Diceros bicornis minor: one gene and its partners. The protein of the gene in region 1 interacts with the protein of each later gene in a pairwise test. Links are inferred from orthologs where the notes say so. Each region holds a gene or a part of one and is shown in the gene's direction. Other genes may lie near its edges.

Region 1 (7,173 bases):
AACCTGGTGATAGGTTGGGGCTGGCCATGCTGAACCCTGTCCTCTCCTAATCATCTGTCCCCCTCAATCCTCTAGGAGTCCCACATACCTTACCGGAACAGCAAGCTCACCTACTTGCTGCAGAACTCTCTGGGTGGCAGTGCTAAGATGTGAGTGATAGAGACACGCGGAAGGGGTCAGGTGGGAACTGTGATGTTGGGGTCAGGGGTGGGAAAGGGGAAACAGTGGAGACCTGGTCTAGGCTCCGCCCAGCCGCTGATCCTGGGGTTCGGCCCCCTTTCCTCTCTCCACAGGCTCATGTTTGTGAACATTTCCCCCCTAGAAGAGAATGTCTCCGAGTCCCTCAACTCCCTACGCTTTGCCTCCAAGGTGCGTTTACCAGCAAGCCCAGGCCCTGTCAGGACCCCTGCATTGTAAGGCTTCTCCATCTTGACCCCTTCTGTCCTCTAGGCCAGGAGGCACATTCATCCAGAAAGGATTTATATTTGCCAGGCATCTGAGGCACTACCCACCTGGATCCATTTTTTTTTTTTTTTTTTTTTTTTTTTTTTGTGAGGAGATCAGCCCTGAGCTAACATCCGCCAATCCTCCTCCTTTTTTGCTGAGGAAGACGGCCCTGGGCTAACATCCGTGCCCATCCTCCTCCACTTTATATGGGACGCCGCCACAGCATGGCCTACCAAGCAGTGCGTCGGTGCGCGCCCGGGATCCGAACCAGCGAACCCCGGGCCGCCGCAGCGGAGCGCGCGCACTCAACCGCTTGCGCCACCAGGCCGGCCCCCCATTTTTTTTTTTTTAATAATTTTATTTATTTATTTGTTTTTCCCCACAAAGCCCCAGTAGATAGCTGTATGTCATAGCTGCACATCCTTCTAGTTGCTTGGATCCATTTTTTATGTATTGGCTTTTGGGGATTTTTAATTAAGTTTTTAAAAATAGGTCGTTAAAAGGAAGGTCAAAACTATATAGAAAGCTATACACAACAAATGAAGTTTTACCACCACTGCTTCCACCCCATCTTCCCTTCCTGTCCTAGGAGAGGGAGTCATTTTTATCATTTATCATTTTACTTATCCTTCCAATGTTTCTTTTTGCAACTACAAGCAATATGCATGTGCTTATTCCTCTCCTTCTTATATAAAAGACATCCCTCATCCTCTCTGTCTCATATATATGTTGTTCCGCGCTGCATTTTGCTTAACAAGACAGCCCCAGGATTACTCCCCACCAGCACACAGAGATCATCCCATTATTCTTATGTCTGCCTGGGACTCCATTGTGTGGATGCACCAAAGTTTATCCACCAGTTCCCTCCACTGGACACTTCGATTGTTTCCACCTTTTTTCTGTTACAGGCAAGGCCGTATTGACTAATCTTGTACATATGTCATTCTGTATTTGTTTAGTTGCATCTAACTATCTAGGGGGAGATTCCTTGAAATGGGATTGCTGGATCAAAGGAGACTTAAAGGTTTTTCAGACCATTCCAAATAGTGTCAATTCAGGCTCCAAACCCCATGAGGGTTGGCTGTGGCCATGGCCATTAATCTCTAGGAGACTTATGCTCCCCTCCACTAGAGTTAAGTCAGAAAGTTTCTTTACCGTCTGCCTCTGGAGGGTCATTTTTTCCTCTGTTTACTCGTTTTCCTGAGAGTACAGCCCTACGATGGGTCCTGGCTTTACCTAGGGTCTCTGATGGTGAGCCCTGCTGCTCTTGGGCTTCAGCCCCGGTTGCTGCCATGGACATAGTCAGCCGCCTCAGCACCTGCCCTGGTCTTGTGCTTTGATCAGGATTTCCCGTGCTGTCTTGCAAGTTCAATAAAGTTATATCAACATCATGAATACCCAACAACTTGAACTCTTTAATATCTTCTAATACCCAGTTTATGTTAAATTTCACCTGATTATCTCTTTTATACATTAGGTTTGTTCCAATCAGGATTTAAGCAAGGGCTACCCCTTTCATTTGGTTGAAATTGTCTCTAAAAGAAATTTAAGTCTATAGAAACTGCACCCCCTTTTTGGCATTTATTTGTTGAAGAAATAGGGTCATTTGTCCTATACAATATACTACATTCTGGATTTTGGTTTATTGCTTCCTTTTTTCTCCATAATTTTTGTTATCTGGTAGTTAGATTTAGAGGCTTGATTAGATTTGAATCAGGCTCAGATTTTTTGGCAAGAAAAGTTAGATGGTGTGGTACACTTTCTATTGCATCATATCAGGAGGCACCTAATATCTAGTTGTTCCAGTTTTAATGATAGAAAAATGGATCATTGGATTTTGGTGTTGTCAGTCTGATCTGTCCATTTTAAAACTCCCTATTGACTTTTTCACCTAGTGGTTTTATCAAACAATGATCATACCTAGATCTGTTATTTCATTAGTAAGTTTTAAAATGGTGATTTTCAAATTGTTCTATATTTATTAGTCATAATTCTTCTCTAAAGAACTTCCCCTTGCTATCTATCTGGTTATTCTGAAACTCAGTCCCTAGAAGAAAGGCAGGATAAATGCTGGATTCTTTATCAATTTTCAGTATGTTAAGTTGATATCCTGGCAACTTCCAAAGGTAACCAGTGAATTTTTATCTGGGGGTATCATTTTACAGATGCTTGTGTATTTGATAGATATCCTTTGCAGTTGTTCTTTCTGATGCTCAAATTGTTGCATCTTTGGCCAGTGGGAGCTCCTTCAAGTTGGCTCCTGTGTCCTTTAGACAAGTTCCCAGTAATCTTTGTTCCAGATTCATCTTGTACATTTCCTGCCCTAGACTTGGAATCATTCATTTTCCAAGGAGCCTTGGTTCCTAAATGAGTGTTGTTATTGCTTTATCTAGCATATTAAGCATTAGTAGTGGGAGGGCTTTGGGGTCTCTAGTCCACAGTATCTCTAGAAATGGAAGCTCCTCTCTGCTGTTGTGTGGGGCTGCCATCCCTTCTCAGGCCTTTTCACCTCTTCCAGATCTGGTGTGCCTAGTGGGCACAGAACTCACTGTAACTGAGACCAGCCCGAACCTGCCTTCAGAGCTGTTATTTCAGTATTCTCTGAGGGCAGCCCTAATAGTGTGGGTTGGGAGGTGATCTTGGGAAAACTATTCTTTTGGTTACTCTGAAAATTTTTTTATCCTGTCTAAACCTGCCCACAGGTGAACCAGTGTGTTATTGGTACTGCCCAGGCCAACAGGAAATGAAGACAGATCCAGATCCTCTGTGGGGGGCGGGGGGGGGGGGCGGGGACGGAGTGGGAGGCTGAGGGATGCTTCGTTGGGAGGGGGCGCTGTGTTACCTGGGCCTATCAAATAAAGAACAGTTTTTTGTTGTTTTTTTAAAAATAAAGGTTGTATTAGCTGTTGCCCAAGAAGGGAGATATTTTTCTTATCTGTAAAGATGAGAACTATGGGTCTGGCCAGTCGGCCAAGCATTTGTGTTTTGCCGAGCGAGGGCTTGGCTTTTCTCCCTGACATGCCGTCCCCTGGAGTCTGGGTGGCCTTCAGCTCCCATGCCCTCCCCCGTCGTCCACATCCAGGATATGTGCCCGCTAGCCATCCACAGTCACTAGTTGGGGCTCCCCCTTGCACGGGCCACGCCAGCCCCGGGCAGGAATGCTCCTGCGGTAGCTGTGGGAAGGTGGGCACCCGAGCCCAGGGGCGGGACCGGCGCGCCCTCCCACAAACTGCTGGCTCTTTTCTCCCGCCCTTTCCCTGCCTTCCCGTTCGAACGGCCAGGGCCGGCCCCGCCCGCTGCCCATTGGCTGGCTCTAGGTGGCGTCACCGCCTCGGTACGAACCTCCTGGTCCGTGCCCCCGCCCTGGAAGCGCGGGGCGGGACGCACGCCCGCCGAATCCCTCGCGCCAACCGCCAACGGCCGCCGCCCCATGAAGGAGGGGCTCAGTGCTCCCAGGTGCCGCGCGCGGGAGGGGTCACGCGTGCGCAGAAGCGCGGCAGTGGCGGGGGGACAACTTGCCACGGGGAGGGCGGGGCCGGGGGCAACGGATGGAGGAGGGCGTGGCGGGGGCAATGGGAAGGGTGACTGGAGGGCGGGGTCGTGAACTGGGGCCGAGGGGCGGGGCTTGGAGTGACCGTGGAGGTGGGGGGGGCAGTTAACGGATGTGGCATGGGGCGGGGGCCAGTCCGAAGGCGGGTTGCCGGGAGGGGGGATTCCCTCCTGCCCCGAGGGCGGGTCTCCCTTCGGAGGAAGGGGCTGCGGGGATTCCCTCTCCCGCGGGGTCCGACCGTCCGCCCGGCTCAGCTGCGGAGAGGCCGCCGCTTGCTCGGCGCCCTCCAGGCCTGTTGGAGGTGAGGGAGGTGGGGTGAGGTGGTGCCCGCCTCTCCGCCCCCCCTCCCGGCTCCTCCTTCCCCCCAGTCCTCCCCTCCCACCACCCTCCCCCCGAGCCGGTTTGTCCCTCCCCTCCTCTCCCCTCCTTTCCCCCGCCGCCTCCTCCTGCCGCTGCCGCTGCTTTGGCTGCTGCGTCATACGCCCCAGAGCCGCCGGGACGGAGGGGCTGGGCCTGGGGACCCCCCGGCCTCTGCCTGCACGCCCCCCGACGCCCAGACGTGCCCTCCTCGCGCGGGGGGTTCGCCTCGGTCTCCCACGTCTGCCACTGCCCGGCTCTCGGCGGCCCCAGCTGTCACTGGTAAGGAGGCGGCGGGAGGCGCCCGTGGGGGGGCAGGGAGCCGGGGGTCGGCGCGCAGGGCGCGGGCGGGAGAGCCTCGCCGCTCTGGCATCGGGTCCGGCTGGGCCGACTCAAGTCCCCTCTCGGACTCGCCGTCATGGGGAGTAGAGACCGGGACTGGGACACGCCCCCCTCCCGGGGCACTCAGGGAACTTATCTAACCCGGGGGCAGGGAGCCCCGAATTTGAGGGTGACCTGATGTAACCTGGCACCAGGATGATTGTTCTGAATGAGACATGCCGGCCCCGGGAGGCAGCTGTTTCTACTCTGGAAAACATCTCCCGAAAAGCTCCCAAAACACATCTCTGGGTAACAGCACCCCAATTATGATACCTCTCAACAGCAAGAGAAGGTGACAGTAGAAACTGAGTGGTAACCTTTGCTTCTGCAACCATCGTTTCTGCTGAAATCTCAGGCCAGGATATAATATCCCAGGGGAGCTCTGGAAGCTGGGAAACTAGACAACTAGGTTGGGGGGCTGGTTAGGGAAAGGAGAGCCAGTCACTAGAGTTGGGAGAACTAGAGTCAAGAAGCTTGGGAGGGGTGCCGAGAGGTTTCCTATCCAGATGTCTCAGGGATTTAGAGACTGGGGGCACAGCCGCCTGAGACCTTGAAAGAAACATAGGCAAACAAAATGGGGCCAGTCTCTCAGCATTCATAACCTCCTCCTCCTCCCATCCCACTTCTGGCTAGGCCCCCCCCAGGATGCAATGGCACAGCCCCCCCGGCTGAGCCGCTCTGGTGCCCTCCCTCTTTGGGATCCAGCTTCCCCTGCTCCCACCTCAGGCCCCAGGCCTCGACTTTGGGAGGGTCAAGATGTGCTGGCCAGATGGACAGATGGGCTTCTATACTTGGGGACCATCAAGAAGGTAAGACCTTTGACCTCTGACCTGTTTCCTTTTCCCCATTCCCCTTATCTACTTCTGATTCCTGTTTCATCCTCTGTGCTCACCCATTCCAGGTGGACAGCGTTCGGGAGGTGTGTCTGGTCCAGTTTGAGGATGATTCTCAGTTTCTGGTTCTATGGAAAGATATTAGCCCTGGTGAGATCCCCAAGGCCTCAGAGTGTACATCCCACAGAAAACAGAAAACTGGCTTGGGGGACAGCAAGGGGCTCAAGCACAGGCCCATTGACACTGTGTTCCTTCACAGCTGCTCTCCCTGGGGAGGAACTCCTCTGCTGTGTCTGTCGCTCTGAGACCGTGGTCCCTGGGAACCGGCTGGTCAGCTGTGAGAAGTGTCGCCACGGTGAGAGGGCAGGACACCTGAATTGTCCAGCTTGCCCTGGGCCTTCCAGGCTACTTCTGACTCCTCCCTCCAGCACTGGTCCTTATGCCACCTGTCCTGGCCTGAGTCCCCCGGCTACTGCCACTGCTCTTGCCAGTCTCCTCAACCCTGTAAGCTCATTCCTTTCTAGCACAGCAAGAGGCAGCCATGGAATGGGGATGTGTGAGCTTTGTGTGCAGAGGGTGGTTCAAATACACTCTTTTCTAGTCATATGACCTTGGGCAAGTCCCTAAACTTCTAGGAGCCTCAGTTCCCTTACCTGTAAAATAAGGGCAATACACCCACCCCAGCAGGACCATGGTCAAGGATTAAATGAGATGGATAAGACTTCCTGTTCCAATACCTTGCACACACAGGTTGCATACACATGCACATACCAGTTGCAATAAGTGGTCAACCATCAATATTATCATTATTCAGCTTATCACCAGGACTGCCATGTTCCAAGGGCCCCAGCCCCTGGAGAGGGAGAGGGCACATCCTGGGTCTGCCGCCAGTGTGTCTTTGCCATCGCCACCAAGGTAAAGGCACCTTCCTGTGGGAGCCTGCCACCCACATCCTCTCCCAAGCCTTTCCTGTCCCCACTCCTCTGAGGTGCCTGGCGTGCCTGTTCTGTCTCTGCAGAGGGGTGGTGCACTGAAGAAGGGCCCCTATGCCCGTGCCATGCTGGGCATGAAGCTCTCTCTGCCATACGGACTAAAGGGGCTGGACTGGGACGCTGGACATCTGAGCAACCGGCAACAGAGCTACTGTTACTGTGGTGGCCCTGGGGAGTGAGTTATGAGGGGCGGGGGGGTTAAGGAATGAGTGTGATGTGGTGGTGGGGGGAATCCCAGGAAGTGAAGGATAAAAAACAAGGCAAGGGGAGTGCTGAAGGGGATGAAAGTAGGTGGTTTGGGTCAGTTAAGGGGGGAAGTGTCTGGAGGTCATTAGTCCTGGCTCCCCTTCAGGTGGAACCTGAAAATGCTACAGTGCCGGAGCTGCCTGCAATGGTTCCACGAGGCCTGCACCCAGTGTCTGAGCAAGCCCCTCCTCTATGGGGACAGGTGAGACCAGGGCAGACTCTCCAGGAGCCGAGGGAGCCCTCCTGCTCTGCTCCACCCTCTCAGATCCCTTCTCTTCCCAACCTCTGAAGCTTTCCCCCACCTGTTCGCCCCATCCTTGCTTGTGAGTCCTCCGTAGCATGGTACAGTTTTCCTGTGTAAGGGGTG
Region 2 (7,902 bases), on another chromosome or scaffold:
ATGAGTAAATAGGGTGGGAAATCTGGATATAAATGTTTCAGAATTTTTTTGGATTTTAGAAACATATACGGTGCATATACATATACAATACATAAGGCAACAGTCCCAGTGGGGTCTGGGACAGCAACCGTAATCAAACAAATTAATATTTCTGCAATGAGATATATGAATATTCACATTGGGATAAACAAAAGTGGGATAAATGAAACTATAAATAATGAAAGTTTAGGAGGTCTGCCACAAAATAAGTTCAGGTCAGATTAGGTTTTGTTGTCAAATGAGTTATGAAAAACTTTTGGTTTTCATTCGTTTTAATTTAGGAAAAGGATTACAGATGGTGAATATTTAATGAAGACACTCCATGTACTCAGTCACTCAAGCTAGAAGTCCAGGAGTCACCCTAAGCTCTTCTCTTCCCCCAACCCCTCAGCCAATCATCACGTCCTATTGATTTTACTTTCTGACTACCTTTTGAATCTATCCTCTCCTCTCCATCCCATGCCAGACATTTAGTCTAGCACCTTGCCATATCTCACTTGGGCCACTTTAGTTTCCTTCAAGCTGGCCTCCCTGCTGTTTTTTGCAGCCATAAACCCCTTCCTCCACACTATAGTAAATGCAGACCTGGCCATGTCACTCCCAGGTTATAAAGCCTTTATGGTTCCCCAAAAATCTCCTGTGATGAAGTCCAAGGTCTTTAGTATGATCTAAAACATAGATGTAAAGAAACAACTACAACAGCGCTATTCAAAGTTTATTACCAATCTGCAATGAAACAATTTCAGAAATTTAAGTGTAAACATTTAGAAACTTTTACAGCAATTTGACAAAAATATTTATTGAATCTAATAAAAATAGGGATTTTATTTCATTGTTCGATAATTCACTTTTAGTGTATTTTATAGAAGTATAGACTATAGACTGGAAATTTTTTTTAATTGGTCCTTTCTTATAGTTTGAGAAGCACTAGTCTATAATATCCTTAATTCAATGGCCTTGTCCACTTCCCTGGGCTCGTTTTTAACTACTGCCACCCCCCATCCAGCAATAATGAACAATTTCTAGTTTCTCAAAGATATCGTTCTGTTTCATACCTCCATGTAAGTTTATATTCTGCTGACTTGACTGTCCCTTCCTCCTGGAAATCTCCTATCCATACTCCAAAATCCTAGGCTGCAACATTACAGTCCCTCACAACCCCGTACAGAAGACATCACTTGTCCCCTATACTTCGGTCAGTGTTTGTACCCTTATTATTGTCCTACGTTGTAATTATTTGTTTATATGTCTATCTCCCCTACTAGTCTATGAGTTCCTTAAAGGCAGAAGTTAGGATTATCAGTCTTTGAGGGGTGAAGCATCACCCCTTGTAAAATGACTAAATTGAATGACAATGTTCCTTAGATTATAATTCTTACATGTTACTAAAAGAGGAAAAAAGGATCATTACTTTATATTCATATATTTCTGTTTCTAGCAAGGATTTCAGCCGTCTACCTTTAGTACCTGAGTATGAATTAATTTATCAGAAGAGTGGACATTTTAGAAGGGCAAGGAGCCAGACCTGTGAGACTGGAAACTTGAAGAAGGAAGGAGGCATGGAAAAATACCTCCACTTACACAGTTTTGCCCAGGTTCAGCCCCTTTTGAGTAAAATCTGTCAATTGCCCTTTTCAAAGTTGCTCAGGCCTGGAAATAGCATCATCAACTCATTAATTTCAGAGGGCCCACGAGACACCAGACCTACCCTGGAGAGGTCCTGGGCTGAGGGCGAAACAAGCAACTATGCGTTATTGAAATGTGTACAAAGAACCGTGAGGCAACTGAAGGATGGGAGCAATTAATTCTGCCTAGAGGGGTGCAGGCAGCACAGCGTGCAGGCAGGAGAGGGTCCAGGAAGGTGATATTGGAGCCAGAGCTTGCTGAGTGAGCTGGATTAGGCCTGGTGAAAACCTGGGGGGGGTGCGGGGGGGGGGGGTGAGCAGTGCAATCTGCTAGATGAAAAGCTACCCGTGCCTAGGAATCACAATCCTTCTGGTTAGCAGTTTCCTCACTCCTCTTCCACCCACTTTCTTCACAATCTTTTCCCCTGTTCTTGGAAAACTGGGACTCAGGATACTGTTTCCCTTCCTGGAAGAGACCAGTGTAGGCAATAAACCTTTGATGAAACGGATCCGTTGCTCTGCTCTGCGTGCCCCTGACCTCACTGAGGTGGGCGGACAGCAGGTGAGTCTCCTAAGAAAGTGGTCCTAACCTATACTGGAGGGAATGGGAACCATGAAGAAAAGGAGAGGAAATTAAGATTTTTGTATTCGTCCCACCCCTACTGTCATCCCCCCACCCCGCCCCCAACCTGTCTCTTATCTTTGTGTTTTTCTACAGTTTCTCATGGTCTCCGTGTCTTCGTCTCAGTCTCTCTCCATTTGCTAAAAGCTGGAAATTCCTTGTTCTCAACGGAAGGGAGTAGGAGGGGACTTGGGGGTGGTAGGAGTGGGAGGGAAGCGAAGAACAGACATCTCAGCAGCTGCGGGGGCGCTCTCGGCCTCTGGCGGGGCTTGACAAGTCAATGATTTTTTAAATGTATGTATTTTTAAATCCACACATAGGAGCTCACATACAAACCTAAAGCAAGACGGAGACACAGATACACAAGTAGATTTAAAGACATATAAATACATAATCTCAGGGTACAGAGGCACAAACTGGCAATAGCGTCTTCAATTTGCTTAGAATTTTCCAATTTACAGAGTTTTCGTATACATCCTCTCATCTGAACCTCAACCCTGAGAAACAGGGATACAAACACTAGGGAGTTTCACTCACACACACAGGTTCGCACTCAGAAAAATCCCTTCTGACTCCCCTAGGGGAGTGGGCAGAAACAGTCCGCGGGATTTTTCTCCCCTCTTCCCTCTCTGGCCGAATACCCGCCCTAGAACCGAGGAGTGGAAGCCCCAGAATCGGCCCCTCCCTCGTCATCTTTCCTGGGCCGGGACCCAGGCGCTCGGCGCCTAGTTGGTTACCGCCCCCCTGCTTCACGCCCTACTCCGCCCTCTTCCCGGGCCTGCGTCTCTCTCCGGACCCAGGGGCTCAGCGCTGCCCCACGGGGGTCTGGGTGGGAGGGAGGGGGGCGCCTGGAGCACAGGCTGCGTGGGCGAAGGATGTGCGTCACGGGGAGCGTGGGCAGGAGGAGGGAGGAGGCACGTGGAAACCCGGGCCAGCGGCTGGCAACCCAGGCTCCAAAATAACCAGAGGGGAGTGGGGGAGGGGGTGCCCACACATATCGGAGGGGATCTGGGAGTGAGCCCGTCTAGCCGTGCCCTCCAGTTGGACAACAGGGGATTGAAAGGGGGCACTCGGCGCGTTCCTATCACCCTCCACTGTGCTTGAGGCTTAATGGGATGGAGAAGAGAATCTTAGCTACCTAAATCCCCCTATGTGGTGCACCCGTCCCCGCCCCCCCCCCCCCCGTGACGGAAAGGTCCCCTCGCCCGGCTGGAATGTAGAACCAGCCCCGCCCACGCCACCCACGCCCTGCCGGGCCCGGGCCACTCAGACGTGCGGAATGGCGGGGCGGGGCTGGGGTGTCGGACTTGGGGGAACCTTGCTTCTGGCCAGTCCGCTCGCTTCCAGTCGGCCCTCTCCCCCACCTCCTTTCCCCGGGGCCTAAAGCCACTGGGACGGGCCCTCAGAGCCCCCGCCTGTCCCCACCCTCTAGCCCTCCCAGCCGTGGGCGGGAGTGTAATGGGAACCAGATGGGGCTAGGAGAAACAAAGGGGGGAGGGGTAGTGGGTGGCGGCGACGGGGGGCGCGGTGGCCAGGCTCCTTGAAGGAGCGCCTCCCTCCAACTCCTCCGTATGGAGCCACGTCGGACGCTCCCGGCCTCCTGCCCATCGTCCACTAGACTCTCTCGGGCAAAGTCCCCTAATAAGACGTCCCCAAAAGGGGAGCCTCCTTATCCCAGCTTTCCCACACAGAATTCCCCAGGAGCAGGTCCCCACTCTCAGCAAATAGGGTGCGACGAGTAGAGGAAGGCGGATACCCCTCCCATCCCTGCCTGGCCTAATCGCTAACAAACCCCGACGCGCCTCATCAGCGTGCGTCTAAGTGGTAGCTTTTAGCATAACCCGCCCAATCCTGTTCCCCGAACTTCGGCGTGGACTCGAGGCAGAGATGGAGGCGGCCTGGATTTCCGAGAACTGGCCTTTCCAAACTATTCTTTTTGGGGCTGGGATATCTGAGGGATTCCCGCAGAGCCCCACGCTCACAGACCAGCCATAAGTGCCCACTCTATGGGAGTCAGATGCACGCACGGGAGGAGCCGCGCACCCGTCTCCGCCAACTTTTCCCGGCTCACTCCTAACATTCCCACGTACAGCCCGCGAGGCCTGAGTATGGGCAGCGGGCGTCCGCGTAGTTGTTGATGCGCGTGTGCACGTCCGTGCGCTTCTCTGTGTCTTTGTGTACCTGTGCGTGGTTGTGAAACTCCACTTGGAGGGGTAGGGGTGGTGGGGGGAGTAGGAATGTCGCCGGCTGGGCGCTCACGTGGTTACGTGGGCGCGGAGAGGGCCGGCTGTGCATCCGGCGTGGGCGGCACGGAGCGACCTCGCCCCGCCCGCTGGGTCCCCAAGCCCGCCTTCCACAGCCTGGCCTCGTTCACCCCAGTCCCCAACTCGGCGCCCCGGCTCCGCGTCCCCGCCCCCGCCTCCTGCTCCACACCCCCTCCCCCCAGTCTCCGCCTCTCGCCGTCTCAGCCGCGGCGTCTCCCCGGCCGGCCGAGAGGCCCGGGCGCCCGCCCCCCGCCCCCGGCCCCCGCCCCCGGCTCTGCCCACGCCCTCCGCCCGCCCGGCAGCCAGCGCAGCGCCGGGCCTCGCTCCCCGTGCGTCCTGCGGGGGCGGAGGCGCGGAGAGGCGGCAAGCGCAGCCGGGGAGGGGGGGGCAGAGGCACAGACAGAGGCGCGGAGGCTCGCAGAGAGGAGACGTGGAGGCAGGGACGGAGCCCGGACAGCGGTGGACACGGCATCGCGCGCCGGGAGGAGCGCAGCGCGCACCAGGCGCCGGGCACCGAGAGGGGCGGCCCCGGTGGTCTCCAGCCTTCCATGCACAGAGCGCCCTCCCCCGCAGCCGAGCCAGGCGGAGGGGACAGCGCCCGCCGGACCCCGCAGCCCAGACTCAAGTTAGTGGGCAAAGGGAGACGGCGGAGAGTGGAGATGGGTGGAGCTGGACTCGGGAAAGGGGTCTGGAGGGCGGAGGTCGAGGAGAGGACCAGGGGAAGCGGGACGGGGGTGGGAGGTGGAGACTGATGGAAAAGGGGGTGCGTCTTCGAATTCGGGGCCCTGGGAGCAGGCAGGGATCTGATGAAGCTGGATATGAAAGAATAGTACCTCATTCTCCATCCCCCGTTTACTCTGTGGGTATGACCTAGCATGTGAGCTGAGCCCCCTGCAAAGAACGTGGGGGCTCCCCAGCGCCAGGGGAAGCCCTGGAGCTCTAGCTGGCAGCAGTGCCGGGGAGGGCCACTCAGCTGGCTCAGTCTGTCGTTGGCACGGAGCGCGCGGGCCGGGGTCCGGGAGAAGCCGGCGCCTCTGAGCCAAGAGAGCATCAGCGGGGCCGTGGAGAAGCAGGGGATGCCTTAGGTGTTCCTTCCCATTTCTGTGCGTTTATTTGCAGCCTGGGGAGGGGAGTTTCGGTCTGCAGCCCCTCCCGCAGTAAGTTTTGAGCCATTCCCCCACTCCACTTGAAAATGCAGATGGAAAATGAAGAGAGGAGGGTGGGCGGGAGCCCCCGGGCGGTTTTCGCCCACAGACGCCAACACCGTGGGAGTGAGTGTGGGCAGAACGGGCCCCAGAGCAGAACAATTGAGGCACTCCTCCCCTCCCCCGGGCGGAGCTCCACTGAGCAGGTGGGGAAGGTCACTGCTGGGAGAAGGGCCAACTGAGGGGCACTGGGCAGTCTGGAAGGGAGGGGCGAGGTCCCCAGGGAGAGAGCAAGAGTGCGCTAAGAATGCCTAATTCGTGAGAAAAGCTGAGGGGAGGGGAGCAGGGGTGCACCCTCACTGAGTGGGAAAGGGCAGAGAAAGGGCCACACACCCCCCTTTCAACCACAGGGTCAGGATGCCACCAGAGAGTGAAGCTGGCCAGCAGTGGTCCCAGGTGTCCACTGTGGAGAGGACAGGGGTCCTGCATTCACCTTAGTGTGGGACGTCACCTTGAGTAAGGTTGAGACTGCTGGGTGTTGAGCGTGGAAGATGAGAACTATGTTCTGCAGGAGAGTGCGGTCCAGCCTTCACAGGGGTGTGCTGGCTGGCCTCAGGGCTCAAGGTCTCCTTGCCCCAGGCCAGAAAAGTAAAAGCTGAGGATGGGGATCAAGAGCCTTTGATTTCTGCAGAGACTGGGCCGGTTTTTGGTCCTTCTGGCCAGTCGGATGGCACTGGCACGTCTGTGCCTCTGGGCAGTGCCTGATTCTCAGACTGCTCAGGCCTGGGCGCTGGGCAGAGACAGCATTCAAGAGAGAGGGCAGAGAAGCAGGCAGGAAAGAGGATAATTGTGAGTGTGGGTTGGTACGGAGCAGGGGGCCTTGCACTGACTGCCCCCCCCTTCTTGTGCACCTCCTTCTCAGGCCCAGTGCCCGAGCCATGGCACTGCCTCGGACGCTGGGGGAGCTGCAGCTGTACCGGGTTCTGCAGCGCGCCAATCTGCTTTCCTACTACGAGACCTTCATCCAGCAGGGAGGGGACGACGTGCAGCAACTGTGCGAGGCGGGTGAGGAGGAGTTCCTGGAGATCATGGCACTCGTGGGCATGGCCACCAAGCCCCTCCACGTTCGACGCTTGCAGAAGGCACTGAGAGAGTGGGCCACCAATCCAGGGCTCTTCAGCCAACCAGTGCCTGCTGTGCCTGTTTCCAGCATCCCACTCTTCAAGATCTCTGAGACTGCGGGCACCCGGAAAGGGAGCATGAGCAATGGGCACGGCAGCCCAGGAGAAAAGGCGGGCAGTGCCCGCAGTTTTAGTCCCAAGAGCCCCCTTGAACTTGGAGAGAAGCTGTCACCACTGCCTGGGGGACCTGGGGCAGGGGACCCCCGGATCTGGCCAGGCCGGAGCACCCCTGAGTCCGACGTTGGGGCGGGAGGCGAAGAGGAGGCTAGCTCACCCCCCTTCTCCCCACCTGCAGGGGGAGGAGTCCCTGAGGGGACTGGGGCTGGGGGGCTGGCAGCAGCTGGGGCTGGGGCTGGTCCAGATCGACTGGAGCCAGAGATGGTACGCATGGTGGTGGAGAGTGTGGAGAGGATCTTCCGGAGTTTCCCGAGGGGGGATGCTGGGGAGGTCACGTCCCTGCTGAAGCTGAACAAGAAGCTGGCGCGGAGCGTAGGGCACATCTTTGAGATGGACGACAATGACAGCCAGAAGGAGGAGGAAATCCGCAAGTACAGCATCATCTATGGCCGCTTCGACTCCAAGCGGCGCGAGGGCAAGCAGCTCAGCCTGCATGAGGTAAGGACCCCAGCCTGCCAGGATTGCCCTTAGCTCCCAGGCCTCAGTCTGCTCACTCTGAGAATCTTCACACTCCCCAAGTCCATTTCATTGTTCCTTGACCAGGACCCCAGGCTCTGATCCCCTCCCCCACACACCCCTTCCCCAGCCACTATAGTGCTGTCCTCTTCAGCTGAGGGGGAAGCAGAGACACAGACAGCAGCCCAGCTGTCCAGCTCCGTGCTGCTCAAGACCCCACAGGAGTCGAGGAGGCCCCTGGCATTCCTAGGAAGCTGTGGGTGCTGATCTCTTGTCTTTCTGCCTCACAAAGCTCCTGTGTAGTGTGAAAACCCAAGCTAGGATCTGATGGATGGGCCTCATTTGTCTGATGGTGAAGGGGTGTGAGGAGGTCTGAGCCAGGCAGTGGGGGAG
Region 3 (7,520 bases), on another chromosome or scaffold:
GTATTCCCTTGACTAGTGGAAGCATAACTCCATTCGTCATGTGGTGTCCTCCCTGTGTACATGTCTGTGTCCAAATTGCCCCCTTTCCTGAAGGATAACAGATGTGTGCAGCCAGATAGCCCTATCGGCCCGTTTCCTGCCTGTAGCATCCTAGAAATCTGACAGCCTTCCTTCATTTCGTCCCCTGTCTGTCCCCTTCAGTTCAAGCTGGCAGCATTTCTGCTGAGATGATTTATAGGATCCACATGTCACATGCCTAATCTCTTAGCAAACAGGTTGTCCAGCCACACCCTTGGCGTTCTTTCCAGAGCATTCTCTCTCATTTTTTGCAATCTGGATAGGCTGAGAATTTTCCAAATCTTCAAGTTCTGGTTTCCTTTTGGTGAACGATATTTTCTTTGATTTATCTTTGTCCTCCTTCGTTTTAAGTGCTTAAGGCTAGAAGTCCATGATCTGGGTGTCAGCAGGGCCATACTCCCTCTGAAGGTGCCAGGGAAGGATCTGTTCTGGGCCTTTCTCCTGGCTTCCGGTAGTTCCCTGGCTTGTGGCAGCAAAGCTCCAATTGTCACAGGGTGTTCCTCCTGGGTGTGTCTTCTCTCGGGTTTTGAGGGCAAGACAGAGCTCATCAAGTCCTCTCTCAGGCCAACCCAAACTGATCCTCTCAACAGTTTAGTTACTACATCTCATTCCTCCTTTTGTTGTTAAAATTGTCTTTCATCACACGTGTGGGGGAAGGAGAACTATTCCTCTACCCTCTAGGTCCTTCTGGCTCATCTAAGAATTAAACTGATGTGAGACAGAATAACAGGAGAAAACCAAACAAAGTTTAATAACATGAATACGTGGCAGAAACCCAGGAAAACTGAGTAACTTGCCAAAATGAGGGAACCACTACCTTAAATACCATTTTCAGCTAAGGACAAAGGAGGATGTTGGGGGTAGTGGTTTGGGACCTCAAAGGGGAAGAAGGCAATTTACATGGAGATGGAAAGGCAAATGTTTGGTAAACAAATGTTTGCTGGGCCATCTATAGACAATGAGACCCAAGGGAGAGAACTTTGATAAAAATGGGCTTAGCAAGGACCCTCCCAGTCTACCATACCCAGAGTTATCTGTGGTCGTGGCCTGTCCTGGGACAGGCCTTCCTTTTTTAGGCAGTTAGGGGAAAGTCATAGTTTCGTTTTGAGTCTTTTTTTATTAAAAAATAATCAAGCCAGCGGGTAGAGTTTGAGTTTGAGCGCTCTGCTTTGGTGGCCTGGGTTTTGCAGGTTTGGATCCCTGGGGGCAGACCTACGCGGCTTGTCAAGCCATGCTGTGGCAGCGTCCCATATAAAGTAGAGGAGGATGGGCACAGATGTTAGCCCAGGGCCAATCTTCCTCAGCAAAAACAAAAAAACAAAAAAAGAGGAGGATTGGCAACAGATGTTAGCTCAGGGCTAATCTTCCTCAAAAAAAAAAAATAATCAAGCCAAAGAGACACATTTTGGCATCGCAAATTCTGATCCCCAACACAAGCAACCCAGGGTCCTGACTACTAGTGTGAAGAAGCTTCATATATCTAGGGGAGTGTGGGTGTTTGTTAGGCTGGGGCTTTGGGTTCAAATAGGGTGGCTGATGGGGTTGAGGCCTGAGAGGTGGGTAGGGAATAGGCCACACAGGACCTCAAACACCGTAGTCCTGAGGGTGCTTGATGGCCGTAAGAGGATGAGAGCAGCATAATTCTGGGTGCAGAAAGATTCCTCTGAGGTCCAGTGGAGAACTTTCTAGAGAGGGCAAGACTGGAGACAGAGAGGTTCAGGGAAGAGATAACGTGGAGGCCCAAGGTTGGGGTCTCGAGGTGTTTCTCATCTCCCCAGGCTCCCGTGCCCCGGCCGCGGATGAGTGCTCAGGAGCAGTTGGAGAGGATACGCAGAAACCAGGAGTGTGGACGGCCGCTCCCTCGCCCGGCTTCCCCTCGGCTCCTCACCCTGAGGAGGACACTGTCCCCAGCCAGACGCCAGCCTGACACGGAACAAAGGGTGAGGGGAACTAGGGGTGCGAGGTGGGGCGATGGGGTGGTAGCGGGTCTTCTGCTCCTAGTTAGAGCCTCAGTTTCCCTCTCTGTAAAATGGGGATGTTCCCTACTTCCTTACCCAGAACTGGGTTTCCAGATTTGCCCCAACTTTTACTTGAGCTGAAATCAGCACTCTGGCTCCCCTAGCCGTGGGGAATGGAAGTGGGGTGTGGTAGGGGGTGGGGCAGAGACAACATCTCCACCTCATCAGCATTCTCCCTTCAGCGTGGAGGTCATAGGTCTGGACTGGAAGCCCAGTGTTATCAAAGGCAAAAATAATTTTTTTTGAGCAAGTAAGGAAATCGATTTTATTCATGCTATTGCAGTGGGGGAGAGCACCCCAGATCTTAAGATCAGAGTGTCTTGGTGGGATGGTTTCATCTTAGACTTTTCTAGGAAGGAATTAGACAAATCATAGGTGGGGTGATTCAAGATTGGGATTGTTTTTGTAATCGGGGGGCGTCTCTGTCAGCTGAACACCAACCGTTTATCTCTGTGTCTACCTAGTTTTGGGGAGACAAACAGTTCAGCTAATCATTTGTGAGGTAGAGAATGTGAGTTTGGAGGGCCTGTTTCTGGCCTTGTCATAGGTAAACAAGGGGTGCGGGGTGTCATCTGAGTCTTATCTAAGACATATGGAGAAGAAGGGTTCTTGTAGTAAGCCGTTTCCCAGAACACACAAGCTTGCGTGTGTGTTGGGGAGTGGAGGGGTGGGGCGGGATCTTAACCTGTTTTCCAGGAGCGCATGTAAAGTTACACATTGTCAGTGTCTCCGGGGGCAATTTTATCCCCTCTCTGAGCCCCCTTCATTTCACCCTCAAAATGAGAACGTGGGGACTTCCAAGTGAGGAATTCTAATGCCCCAATTCCTTTGCAGCCTGTCCCAGGACACTCAGGAGCCCCGAAATGGCTCAGAAGCTCCGGGTCCTGGAGCAGGTAGGGAACAGGAGGGCGCGGCCAGGAGCAGGGAAATCCATTTGCCAAAGGGGAAGGGAATAGTAGCACTATTATTAATGTCTCCTGAGTACTGAAGTGCAGGTCGCAGAACCTGTTGGAGACGCTTGAGTTCCTGGGCCATCAGAAAGCCCTAGATCCGCAGTGAGAACTGCAGTTTCCAAAACTGCAAAACTGGGTAGATATCACACTCCGCTCCTCCGTCTGGAAAACCGGTGAAGTCTAAGAGCGACTGGACTACAAATCCCATAATGCACGCGTGCTTTTTATGAGGGCCGCGCCATGTTTAAAGACCTTTAGAGACACGTGCTAGGGACTACAACTCCCAGAAGGACACGCGCAGCACGGAGGTCCTCTCTGTACTGGATAATTGTATACGTCCCCCAAATCTCTTTTTTTCTAGTCCAAGGAACACCACCCCTTATTTGCCAACATCCGAAGGTCACCGGGAGCGAGTCCTCAGCCTCTCTCAAGCCCTGGCTACTGAGGCATCGCAGTGGCACAGAATGATGATAGGTGAGGAGGGGCTGGGGACTTTGGGCTCCTGGGTTTTAGAGAAGAGGGAGCCAGAGGCCTGGAATCCTAGGTCCTGGTGGGGAGGGGTCTGAGGGCGGCTGGGAATCCTTTGTCTTGATGAGGAAAGAGCTAGACGGGGCTTGGAAATTCTAGATCCCAGGCGGGAGGAGATCGGGATCTAGGGCTACTGGGTCTGGAGGAGGGTACTGAGAGGTCGGGACTCCTGGGTCTGAAGGAGGAAAAGTCTGGGGGTCTGGACTCCCGAATCCCAAGGTTTGCCATTCTCATTCCCCAATCGTCCTCTCCAGGGGGAAATTTGGACTCCCGAGGAGACCCTGTTCCCCCTGCGCCGCCGCCTCCGTCAGACCCCACGCCCCAGGTGTCCTCGGCCCCAAGATCTCCTCCACTGGCCAATTCCCGCTCCACCGGGTTCTCCCGCCGAGGTAGTGGGCGCGGCGCAGGCCCCGCCTCCTGGGAGTCCTCGTGGGATCCTGGGGCCGCCCCTCCCGCCCTGACGCAAGATGAGGGGGCGTGGCCTCTGCGAGTTACTCTGCTGCAGTCCAGCTTCTGACACGCCCAAACGCGGCAGCCAATCGGAGCGTGGGGGCGTGGCCTGGATGTACCGCCCCGAGATCTGGAGCCACTCAGGGCACCGGGGGGCGTGATCTAGTCCCCTCCGGTGGCCTGCCGGCGAGTGGTTTCGGTGGCCAGAGTTTGGTTTTCCCAACACTTGTCCAAATTCGGATTAAAACTTTGAACTTTTAGTCAATAGCTTTCTTTGTGTCTGTTGTGGGGTCTCTGAGGGGCGGAGCTGGAGTCTGGACTCCTGGGTCCCGAGGGAGGAAGGGACAGGGACCTCAGACTTGTAGATCTGAGGAAGGAGGGGCTGGAGACCTAGATTCCCGGGTCTGAGGGAGGAGGGGCTGGGGCCAAACTTCCAGGCTTCTGGTCTTTCTGGCAACGCCCCCCAGGGCCGGGCTTCCAGGATCCAGCCTCTATTTATGGTTCGGCCTCCCGGGACTTGGGAGGTGGAAAGAGGGGCAGAGTGAGTGACAGTGGGAGACACGGACTGAGGCAGAATGGCCACGGGAACGCGCTATGCCGGGAAGGTGGTCGTTGTAACCGGGGGCGGGCGCGGCATCGGAGCCGGGATCGTGCGATCGTTCGGTGAGAGGGGTCTGGCTGCTCGAAATATTGGAGTCTGGGAGAGGAGGGACCCCGTGGGCTAATGGATGTGGGAAGAAGGGTCTTCAGTACCGGAGTCAAGATTCTTATCGTATAAAAGCCAATTGTAATGCTAACGAAGGGATTGGCAGGGGTAGCCTAGGGCCTGAGGTCTTGGCGTGTCACCCAAACGCTGTTACTTCCTTTCTGAGTTTCAGTTATAGCTACAAAAGGGGTGAATGGCTCTTGCAGGTTTAGAATTTGCTCTGGATCCCAGGGGTGGGGGCTCGGGAGCCGCAGCAGGCACCTGGAGCAGCCAAGAAGAATATGTGTCAAGGCCTCTGCCCTTTGACCTAGGGGATCATCACGAGACTTTGGGGTCAGAGGGAGCAGGGAGGGAGATAGTCCCCACTCCAGGTGGCCACAAGAGGGCAGCAGAGGCTTCGCCAAGGTCTGTGCTGGGGTAACCTGTTCTGTTCTCAGTGCAAAGCGGGGCCCAAGTGATTATCTGCGACAAAGATGGTAAGTGTTGGTCCCTCACCCCCAGCCCCTCCTCCCCGAGACCCGGGAGTCCGGACCCCTAGCCCCTTCTCCCCCAGCACCGGGAGTCCGGGCCCCTCAGACCCAGGAGTCGGGGAGGCCCCCAACTCCCTCTTCCCCCAGACCCGGGAGTCCGGGCCCCCAGCCCCCTCCTTCCGATCTGGGAGTCCGGACCCCCAGCCCTTCTCTCTCTCTGCAGAGTCTGGGGGCCGGGCCCTGGAGCGGGAGCTTCCTGGAACTGTCTTTCTCCTCTGTGACGTGACTCAGGAGGAAGACATAAGGGTGAGTATTTTTCGGTCCCTACTCCGGATCTCCAGCAGTTTCTCTCTCTCTCTCTCTCTCTCTCTCTCTCTCTCTCTCTCTCTCTCTCTCTCTCTCTCTCTCTCTCTCTCGTTTCTCTTCTAGGCTTTTGCACATGCTGTTCCCTCTACCTTTCCCTCTTCTCCTGGCTAAATTGTACTGGGACCAGCTCAGTATTGTTTCAAGGCTCTCCTTGATTCTGCTGGCCAGGTCCTGTGTCTCCTGGGAAAGTTCTCCTTTATCTCCTACTTCTTCAAGACTCTTGCCACTCTGTCGTGAGGATTAGAACAAAAAAATCTATCACAGCGGGTCTCCTCCTGTAAGAGTTTTCCCTCGCCCATCTCAGGGTTTCTGTCCCTTCCCTTCAATCAGTGTCGATCTAGTATCTAGCCCCCACCTTCCCCGGCTCCCTGTCTCCTCTTCTCCTGCCATGCCTGGTGATTTGTGGGGAGGGTCCCTCACTTCCTCCAGCTCCTGTTCCCTCAACTGTGACTCCAGCGTCCACCTCCACGCCTTGCTTTTGGGCGCCCGGGCTCCCCAAGGCCCGGGGCCAACACTGCTCCCTCACGACCCGTCTTTCTCCTCAGACCCTCATCTCTGAGACCATCCGCCGTTTTGGCCGCTTGGATTGTGTGGTCAACAACGCCGGCTACCGTGAGTTGTGAAGCCTGAGGGCCCTTCCCACTGAGGTCCACACGCCTCCTGGCTTCCCCCGCCTTCCTCCCTTGCCTCAGTTTCCCTGTCTCTGCCCCCTCCCCCTCTGTCCCCTTAGACAGGACAGGACTGCTATGGAATCCTCCATGCCTGGGCTTAAATCCCGGCTCTGTCCGTTCCCTGCTGTGTGCCCCCAGACCTGTGCCCTCACCTCACTGTGCCTCAGTTTCTGCATCTTTAAAATGGGAATGACCATGATCATCATATAGGGTTGTTGTGGATACTGAATAAGGGAAACTACTCAGCATTGTCAACACAAATAATCAATAATCAATCTATAAATCAAGATTGGGGTGAGTTGATTACATGAGCTAATCTGAGGACCATATAGCCTGGGAGGAAACCTTCCCCAAGGAAGGAAGCCCTCCGAAGCATCGGGGTGTACAGTGTAGTTATATACTGACTTGGAACAAGGAACAGACGCCACGTATAACAGGAATATCTCTTTTACTACAGTCACGAGATGTTTTGCTAGCATGGCAGGTCCCTGTGACCTTAGTTTCTGGAAGGAAATACTTATCTTTAAAGAAATGCTGATGTGGGGGGAGGCCTACATCCCTATCTTTAAAGGCAGCGTTCTTTGCTTGGGACGTTGTAAACGTTTAAAACAGATGCACAATGCATGTTCGACAGGGCACACCAGACCATTCTGGAAAAACAAAGTCAGGCCGAATTAGTTTTAAACCAAATGGCTTCCTCATATCCCTCAATATGTATGTACTTTCCGTATTGCTTTTCATTTATTCATCAGCTGCATAATTATCGTACAATCTCGGGCAAACAGCTTCCATCTTGTAGCCTCACTTTGCTTATCTGTGAAGCGAGGCCATGGCCCTTCTCTTTGCCGATGGCTGTGAAGATGTCCTCACGGTGCATGGTTTATAGGGCTTGGTGTGGTGGCTTCCAGGGGAAATTGCCATCAGCTTGATGACGGCCCTTCATAAGAATGTCTCATGGTGGTGAACTGAGGCTCAGAGAGGTGAACTGATTGCATGGAGGTCACACAGCAAGGCCGTGGTAGAAAGAAGCCTGCTTTGTTGGCTGGGCAACTTTGAGCAAGTGGCTCACCCTCTCTGGGCTGCATGTTTTAAAAAATTATTTTATTGGGGTGGCCCCGTGGCTTAGCAGTTAAGTGCGCGCGCTCTGCTACTGGCGGCCCCAGTTCAGATCCCGGGCGCGCACAGACGCACCGCTTCTCCGGCCATGCTGAGGCCACGTCCCACATACAGCAACTAGAAGGATGTGCAACTATGACATACAACTATCTACTGGGGCTTTG
Region 4 (7,161 bases), on another chromosome or scaffold:
CAGAGGCCCACACTGGGGACATTCACATCACCAGGCTGATTGCGTTGTCTTTAGCAATGTGATCTCAGACCTCAAATCGGCAGGCCTTCTACGCTGCCCAGAGATCCTGTGTCCCAGAATGGCTGTTTTTCTCCTCTCCGAGACCTCCACACCTTCTCCTCTCCATCCCTGCCCAGTCTCAGCTTGCAGATATCCTGGAGAAACAGCAGCCGACAGAGGTGAACACCACCCCCCCCAAACCTCCCACCACCTCCTCTACAAGTGCACCTGCATCTGCACTGCCTCCTTCCTGCCCTACAATGGAAGAAGTATCTTTTCCCCAACATGTGTCTGATCCCAGCTCCTCTCACCACCTAACAGCTTGGCAAACTGAGCTGCCCATCTCCTCGACCCATTAATTCCATCATCGTCATTTCCAGCCACAAACAAACATGCTCTGTAATTTTACATCTTTAAAAGAAACTTTCCCTTGACCTCACATTCTCCTTCAGCCACCTCCCCATTTCTCTGTTCCTCTTCACAGTGAAACTCCTCAAAAGAGTTGTTGATTACTCTCATTTCCACTTTCTCATCTCCCATTCTCCCTTCCACCAACTCCAGACTCCTGTTGGTCCCCCCACTTCATTGCATTGCTCTTATCACAGTCACCAACCTCCCTGTTGCCCAAAACAAAAGCAACCTGGACTCCCCTTGTGAGCTGGACTCCCCAACTTCTCAGCAGCATTCGACACCCCTCCTTGATACGCTGTCTTCACTTGGTTTTCCTCCTCCCTCCTGAGCCCCTCCTTCCCAGCCTTTGCTGTCTCCTCCTCTGCCAGAGTCCTGCCCTGGGCTCCAGCCTCACAGTGTAGCTTAACGCTGGCTGCACACAGAATCACCCAGGAGACTTTAAAAAATGCCTGCACCTGGGCACACCCACAGGCTCACATTTCATCAGTCCTGGCAGGCCCCGGGCATCAGTTTGTCCGATTCCCTGAGTGATTGTAGTGTGCATCCAAGGCTGAGAACTACTGCCCTAAGTGAGCCAGTCCTGTCTCCAGGTCTCACTGGTCATTTAAATGCTGGTGGCTAGGGGCCGGCCCAGTGGCGTAGTGTTTAAGTTCGTGCTCTCTGCTTTGGTGGCCCAGGGGTCGAAGGTTGGAATCCCGGGAGCAGAACGACTCACTGCTCATCAAGCCACGCTGTGGCAGCGTCCCATATACAAAATAGAGGAAGACAGGCACAGATGTTAGCTCAGGGCCAGTCTTCCTCACCAAAAAAAGAAAAGAAAAGAAAAGACAAAAGAAATGCTGATGGCTCCCAAAGGTATATCTTCAGTGCAGACCTCTCCCTTGAGCTCCAGATTTAAGAATCCAACTGCACACTAGACTTCTGGCTGTCTAAAAGGCATCTCCAAATGTAACGTCTGAAGGGACGCTGGGGGGTTCTGTGCAGTGCTGCCCCAGAGTGTCTGTGGCCACAGAGGGCAAAGCTCAGGACATTGGAGCGATGGGGAGGCAGATTTCAGACCCACTTACGGAAGCTCCTCCTGATGGGTAAAATCTTCCCATGATCCATCAGGCTGCCTGCCATAGAGCCAGCTGAGGCCAGAAGGTTCCCAGTCAGGGTGCCTGCGGCAGGGACCCCTCTGCCCCACAGCTCAGCAAATCCGAGGACACACTGGAGGTTACCCAGAGAGTCAGGGTCATGACCAGAACTAGAACCCAGGACTCTGGGTCCCTGGTCAGGCATGCTTCCCTTCACTACAAATCTAAGCCTCTTTGTTTCATGCAATTTCTGTGAGGTTCCAATCAGACTGGGAAAGAGAAAGTCCTTGGAAACCTCCAGGACTCTAGGGGCCTGGCCCTGGAGCTGTAGCTGTCCTGGCCGCCGGGGGGCACTGTGTCCTAGCCTGGGGCAACCCAGGGGCTGCCTATACAGGGAGCTCTTGTGGCTCCATCCAGGCCTGAGCCTTGCACAGGCCAAGGAATGCGGTCACAGGGTCCTCTCTGCTGGAGGACTGCCAGGACCCCCAGCTGCCACTTCTTCCTTTGCTCACGTGCTGTGTCACTTTCTTCCTTCATCTGCTCATTCACATCTGCTGTGTGCAGACACTGGGGAAATGTTGGTGGACGAGACAGACAAGTCCCTGCTCTCATGGGAGTGAGTTTCCAAAGGGGGAAAAGGCAATAAAGAAACAAACACTTGATATAATATCAGATGGTTGTAAGTGCTATGGGGAAAAATAAAGCAGGGTAAGGGACTAGTACTTGATGCTGGCAAGGTGTCAAGGGACTCCTGTTTTAGATAGGTGGCCAGAGAAGATCCCTTGGAGGAGGCGACAGCTGAGCAGAGACCTGAACAAAGTGAGAGAGCCTGTTGCTTAGACATCTGGGTGAAAGTGCTTCAAGCAGAAGGAGCCACAAGTGCAAAGGCCCTGAGGCAGGAATATGTTTGACATGTTGGAGGAACAGTGAGGAGGCCAGAGTGGCTGGAGTGCAGTGAGCAAGGAGGAGAGTGGTGGGAGGTAGAGTCAGTTTATTAGTGGCATATACATCTTGAGGACTTTAGTTTTAAGTACAATGTGAGCCTACCGGAATGCTAAAAGCTGAGGGTGATGTGGTATGATTTCTGCTTTAAAAATATCATTTTGGCTGCTGCATGGTGAAGACTCTGGAGTGGGCAAGCATGGAAGCAGGGAGCTCTATTAGGAGACTGTTAAGATGTCCAGACACGAGATAAGTGGCAGGGACAATGACGGCAGCAGTGACCAGATGTGGAACATATTCTGAGGGTGGGAATTGCAGAATCTGGGGTATGACAGAGAAGAGAAAGGAAGGATAACTTCATAGTTTTTACTGGACCAGGTGGATGAATGGTGGTGCTGTTTACTGAGGCGGTGAAGGAGCAGCCAGTGGGGCAGGAGGAGGCATGAAGCCAGCGGAAGAGGGAATGCCCCTGGACCGGTAAGACAAAGCTGAGAAACCGCCATTGATTCGATAACCTGGAGGCATCAAAGACCTTGAGAAAAGGGAATTAATTCAGAGGACTGGTGGGGATGAGAGCCTGACTGGAGTGAGTTCAAGAAAGAACGAGAGGAAAGCAAGCGGAGACAGGGCGATAGACAACTCCTTCCAGGGATTTTACTCTCGAGGGGAGTAGAATAAAAGAGCAATAGCTGGAGAGGGAGGTGGGGTCAAGAGAGATGTCTCTAAAGATGAGAACTCTCTCAGCAGTTTGTGTAGTGAGGGGAATGATGCAGAAGAGGGGAAGCGTGATGATGGAGCAGGGAGGGCAGCCGCGGCCACGCCCTAGAAGCAGCTGAGAGGTGGACGTCGATTCATTCCCGTCCCTGCTCAACTTCCCCCGCCGGCTGAGCTAGCCGCCGGGGCTGAGCACTGGGGGCCAAGCGGGGACTCGGACACCCTCGCTAGAGTCTCCCGTTGCGCCTCCACTAGCGGCGCTACCCCCTCTGGAGTCGGGTACCAGAACACAGCCCATCTCGACAGTGTGGGGTCGCTGAGACGGGGTCGCAAGGCAGCGGGATGCTGACTGCCTGGGGTCACGGGGTGGGAGGGAGGCCAGGGCCCACAGTTCAGGCCGAGCCCAGGGCCCCCTCCACCTCCGTCCGCTCCTGCCCTTATTTTCTGCCGTCAGTAGAGTGTTCTGCAAACCTGTTCCCACCTCAACTAATCCCACCTCGATGTGTCTCCTCCCACCAAGTTTCTTCGATTTAGAAATTCTGGAGCCGCGGATGCCTGCGCCTTACGCCAAAGAATGCCTATCCTCACGGCGGCCCTGCAAGGCCAGTATTATTGTCCCATTTTTCCGGGGAGGAAACTAATGTTCAGAGACAACTAATGCCCAGATCTGTTTGATTTCGAAGGCTGCCTTCTTTTCACTCGGCCAGCGGGAGGCGCAAGGCGTTGGCCGAGCGGCTGGCTGGGCTCCCAGACGCGGCATCCCGCAGCCCAGGCCCCGCCCCAGCCCCGCGCCAGCCCCGCGCCACCAAGGGGCCCGGGGCGGGCCGTGCCTTCCAGCTCAAAGCGAGACGGGATTTCGTGATTGGGCGGGGAGGGAGGATTGGGTGGGGCTTCCCACTGACGGACCGGCCGCTCGCGGGCGTGTCCTCGATGGGGGCGTGGCCTGGGGCACCGCCCCCTTCAGCGGGCTCAAAGCGGACGGCAGCCACGGGGGAGGGGTCAGAACACGAGCGGCTGAGCCCGACACCGCCTTTGGGAGACCGCTGCGGAGCAGCGCCTCGGCGGGGCCGAGCAGGTACAGGCGACAGCGCGGGGCGTCTCGGGCTGGGCCAGGCGGGGGGCAGAGGCCTGCTGGGGACCGCAGAGGGCTTTAGGGGTCGTGGCCAGCGCTGCGCTTCCTCCCTCGGGCCCGGGCCCCCGCCCCCGCCTTCCTGCGACGAAGCCGGCAGCGGCGGGACCGATTGGCGCCTGCGCCGCTTCCTGCGCTCGGGACTCGGCCAATGCATGGGGCCCGGGCGGGGGACCAGGGGGAAACTGAGTCACGTCGGAGTGGCATCACCCCCACTGGGCTCCAGGATGAATCCCCCTCCTGGCCACGCTTTGGGGTCCAGCCCCCACCGATTTCCGCAGAGCCTGCACCCCTGCCCGGTCCCCCTCAGCGCCCAGGGGTCCCGCCCTGGTTCCCAGCAGCCTCGACCGGTCCTGGAATGGCTAGGACTCGCTCCAGCCGCCTCCCTCCCCACCCCTCCCCCTCGCGTCCCGAGCCCCCGTGTGCTCCCTCCGCTGACTCTCCGCACAGTGTCAGCTTACACGCCTTATATAGTCCTAGCAGGCTCCAGCTGCGGCCTGCCTGCCGGGACCTGGGGGCGGGGGAGAGGAGTGCCGGCCCCTGACTCACCCCACCGCCATCCGAGGCTCAAGGCTGGCTTAGGGGGAGGCCGTGCCAAATTAGCCCTGCGGCCCACTCCTGGATGAAAAGAACCTCAAGACTGGATGCGGGCTCCCCTCACCCTCCCAGTCCCTGGGGGAGGAGGGTTGCCCCTGTCTTTCCAAAGTGAGGCCTGCCAGCCAGCAGCCCAGCCAGACCTGACAAGGTGCCCGCCTGCAGATGCCCTGGGTGTGCTAAGCGTCTGCTTGTGCCTGCGTGGCACCAGTCCAAGGCTGGTGTCCAGAGCTGGGCCTGCCTGCACACTCACTATGCTGGCCACTCACCTTCTCTCTCCTCTCAGGAACGGACACCATGGATTCCTTCAAGGTGGTGCTGGATGGCCCAGCACCTTGGGGCTTCCGGTTGCAGGGGGGCAAGGACTTCAATGTGCCCCTGTCCATCTCCCGGGTGAGCCTAGGTTGGGGGAGGGGCTCCCCCAGGAGTCTTTGGGTGCTCAGGTTTCCAGTGGGTGATGGGAGGAGTCTGAGCAGGAGGGAGCCAGGGCCAAGAGTCCAGGAGGTGTCCAGGTCCAGAGATGTGGTGGTCACCTGCCACAAGGACTCCTAACTAGGTGGATACTGGGAAAGAAGTCCTCATACTTCCCCAGCACTGCACTATACCTGATGCCATTCCATGAAGCTCCTGGGGCCACCTCTGAGGCCTGAGGGATGTCCATTCTGCAGGAGGGGAGCCTGAGATCTCCAGGAAGTGTCTAGGCCCTTGAGGGAGCAATGCTTGGAGCCAGCCCCCAGGCAGGACACTCAGACTGCAGGATCTCACTTCACCCTCACTGCCACCCAGGGAATAGCAGTTGTCATCCTGTTTTTCCAGATGAGGGAGCTCAGGACTGAGAGAGGTGGAGGCGCTCCTCCAGCAATTCCATGACAAAGCAGGGATTGGGATTCAGGCACTGGGATGGCCTGCAGTTTTCGTGGTTAGGAGAGTGAGGAGGGTCTCTTTCCAGCCTGTGCGAGGACCTGCATCCCCCACTGGTCCCATTCAGGATACAGTGGCCTTTGACCCCAAGCAGGGGTGTGGGACAGGTCTCTAGGGCTGTGACTCCTAAGATCCTGCCCTGGTTGGGGGGGGCTCCTGGGTGGAGCTAAGGGCTGGCTCCTCCCTGTGGCAGGGGGATTGCCTTATAAGCCCAAGAATGCAGCCCCATGCTGGGATGGCCATCTGCTGGCTGGAGTCTGCAGAGCCGAAAAAGGCTGGTCTAGGCCGGGACCCCTGAACTGCATTGGTGGGCCCCTCAGCTGGTGACCACCAGGCCATAGCTCCAGCTGTAGGGTCAGTTGTGGGACATAGACAACAAACTGCCTGCCCAGAGAGGGTGAGGGCTGGTGTCTCTGACTGTGGCCTAGGAGTCAGTGTGGGGTGGGGACTTCCTGTCCCCACATCTGCCTGTGCAGAGAGGCCCACCCGGGTGCCTGGTGGGCAGGCGGCTGTTGGCAGGAAGCCCAGGGCAGGCACAGCCTGGAGGGGGCCAGAAGGTTGTCCAGGCACTGCCCAGCCTGAGAGGGGCCCCAAGGCGGAGTCTGCGGGAGTTGGGCTTGGTGGCCAGGGCAGGCAGGCGGTCACTGATCTTCCCAGGGACCTTTCCATGGGGTTCCCCTGGAAACTACCCTGCCAGCAGGTCTCCCTACAACACACACACCCAGCCCTTACGGTCCTGATGCCTTGCCAGCCCAGAAAACCTATCCTGAATCCCCCTCCCTGGAAAGTGCTGGCCAGTGTGGCTGGGGAGTCGCAGGCCTTGGCTGGCCTCTGAGACTGTTTCTTCATTGGTGGGGATGGGCAACATAGTGAGCTTGGGGGATGGACTTTCAGCTGTGGCCTGTTGGGGGCACTCTGGGCCACGCCTTGCTTGTCAGCAGCCCCAGTGTGTGGGTGGGGTGGTGAGCTGAGCCCAGCCCTGGAGTTGGACCTAGGCCCTGGTGGGTGGGCTGATGGGGTGGTCTTTTCTGAGCTGGGCCAGCCCCCTCTGTCTCCCCTGACCCCGGCATGGAGAGAGGAGGGAGGGGCTCCCAGGACTGGCTGTGGGCCCAGGCCTGGGAGATGAGGTAACGTCTGGGACTTGGGGGTTGGGCTGCTCGGTGGAGCCCTCAGGCTGACTCACCCCCACCCCATGCAATGTCCAGCCCCCTGGCTCTTCACCTCCTTCGTACTTAGGGCCTCCCTGCTTCTCTCTCCAGCCACCCTTCTGCCCCCTACCCCCGAGTTCTCTCCTGCTTCTTTCTCTACCTCTCTGAGCACTCTCCCATCCCTCCT

What was found.
Region 2: the proteins of PHF1 (region 1) and NAB2 interact in binary tests that used the Homo sapiens proteins (3 or more experiments, as listed by UniProt). The two-hybrid records come from large-scale screens. The link is inferred for Diceros bicornis minor from reciprocal best matches to the Homo sapiens genes PHF1 and NAB2.
Region 3: the proteins of PHF1 (region 1) and HSD17B14 interact in binary tests that used the Homo sapiens proteins (3 or more experiments, as listed by UniProt). The two-hybrid records come from large-scale screens. The link is inferred for Diceros bicornis minor from reciprocal best matches to the Homo sapiens genes PHF1 and HSD17B14.
Region 4: the proteins of PHF1 (region 1) and PDLIM7 interact in binary tests that used the Homo sapiens proteins (3 or more experiments, as listed by UniProt). The two-hybrid records come from large-scale screens. The link is inferred for Diceros bicornis minor from reciprocal best matches to the Homo sapiens genes PHF1 and PDLIM7.

What each region holds. Positions count from the first base shown.
Region 1 is NC_080753.1:31,079,163-31,086,335, reverse strand, and holds the start of PHF1 (PHD finger protein 1), read left to right. Parts: upstream 1-4,158; 5' UTR 4,159-4,636; intron 4,637-4,659; exon of another isoform or gene 4,660-4,890; 5' UTR 4,891-4,911; coding exon 4,912-4,984; intron 4,985-5,368; coding exon 5,369-5,544; intron 5,545-5,636; coding exon 5,637-5,718; intron 5,719-5,827; coding exon 5,828-5,923; intron 5,924-6,382; coding exon 6,383-6,483; intron 6,484-6,586; coding exon 6,587-6,735; intron 6,736-6,912; coding exon 6,913-7,008; intron 7,009-7,173. Other genes in the region: kinesin-like protein KIFC1, read left to right, coding at 76-149, 294-369, 3,150-3,194. UniProt on the Homo sapiens protein: Polycomb group (PcG) that specifically binds histone H3 trimethylated at 'Lys-36' (H3K36me3) and recruits the PRC2 complex. Involved in DNA damage response and is recruited at double-strand breaks (DSBs).
Region 2 is NC_080756.1:11,804,218-11,812,119, reverse strand, and holds the start of NAB2 (NGFI-A-binding protein 2), read left to right. Parts: upstream 1-4,886; 5' UTR 4,887-5,098; coding exon 5,099-5,175; intron 5,176-6,617; coding exon 6,618-7,491; intron 7,492-7,902. UniProt on the Homo sapiens protein: Acts as a transcriptional repressor for zinc finger transcription factors EGR1 and EGR2. Isoform 2 lacks repression ability.
Region 3 is NC_080773.1:24,435,797-24,443,316, reverse strand, and holds the start of HSD17B14 (17-beta-hydroxysteroid dehydrogenase 14), read left to right. Parts: upstream 1-4,517; 5' UTR 4,518-4,602; coding exon 4,603-4,690; intron 4,691-5,170; coding exon 5,171-5,209; intron 5,210-5,426; coding exon 5,427-5,509; intron 5,510-6,114; coding exon 6,115-6,181; intron 6,182-7,520. Other genes in the region: PLEKHA4 (pleckstrin homology domain-containing family A member 4), read left to right, coding at 1,857-2,018, 2,931-2,989, 3,411-3,523, 3,832-4,094. UniProt on the Homo sapiens protein: Catalyzes the NAD(+)-dependent oxidation of L-fucose, yielding L-fucono-1,5-lactone, which rapidly converts spontaneously to L-fucone-1,4-lactone. Can also act on D-arabinose and L-galactose, with lower catalytic efficiency. Does not use NADPH.
Region 4 is NC_080740.1:90,709,105-90,716,265, reverse strand, and holds the start of PDLIM7 (PDZ and LIM domain protein 7), read left to right. Parts: upstream 1-4,153; 5' UTR 4,154-4,257; intron 4,258-5,191; 5' UTR 5,192-5,202; coding exon 5,203-5,298; intron 5,299-7,161. UniProt on the Homo sapiens protein: May function as a scaffold on which the coordinated assembly of proteins can occur. May play a role as an adapter that, via its PDZ domain, localizes LIM-binding proteins to actin filaments of both skeletal muscle and nonmuscle tissues.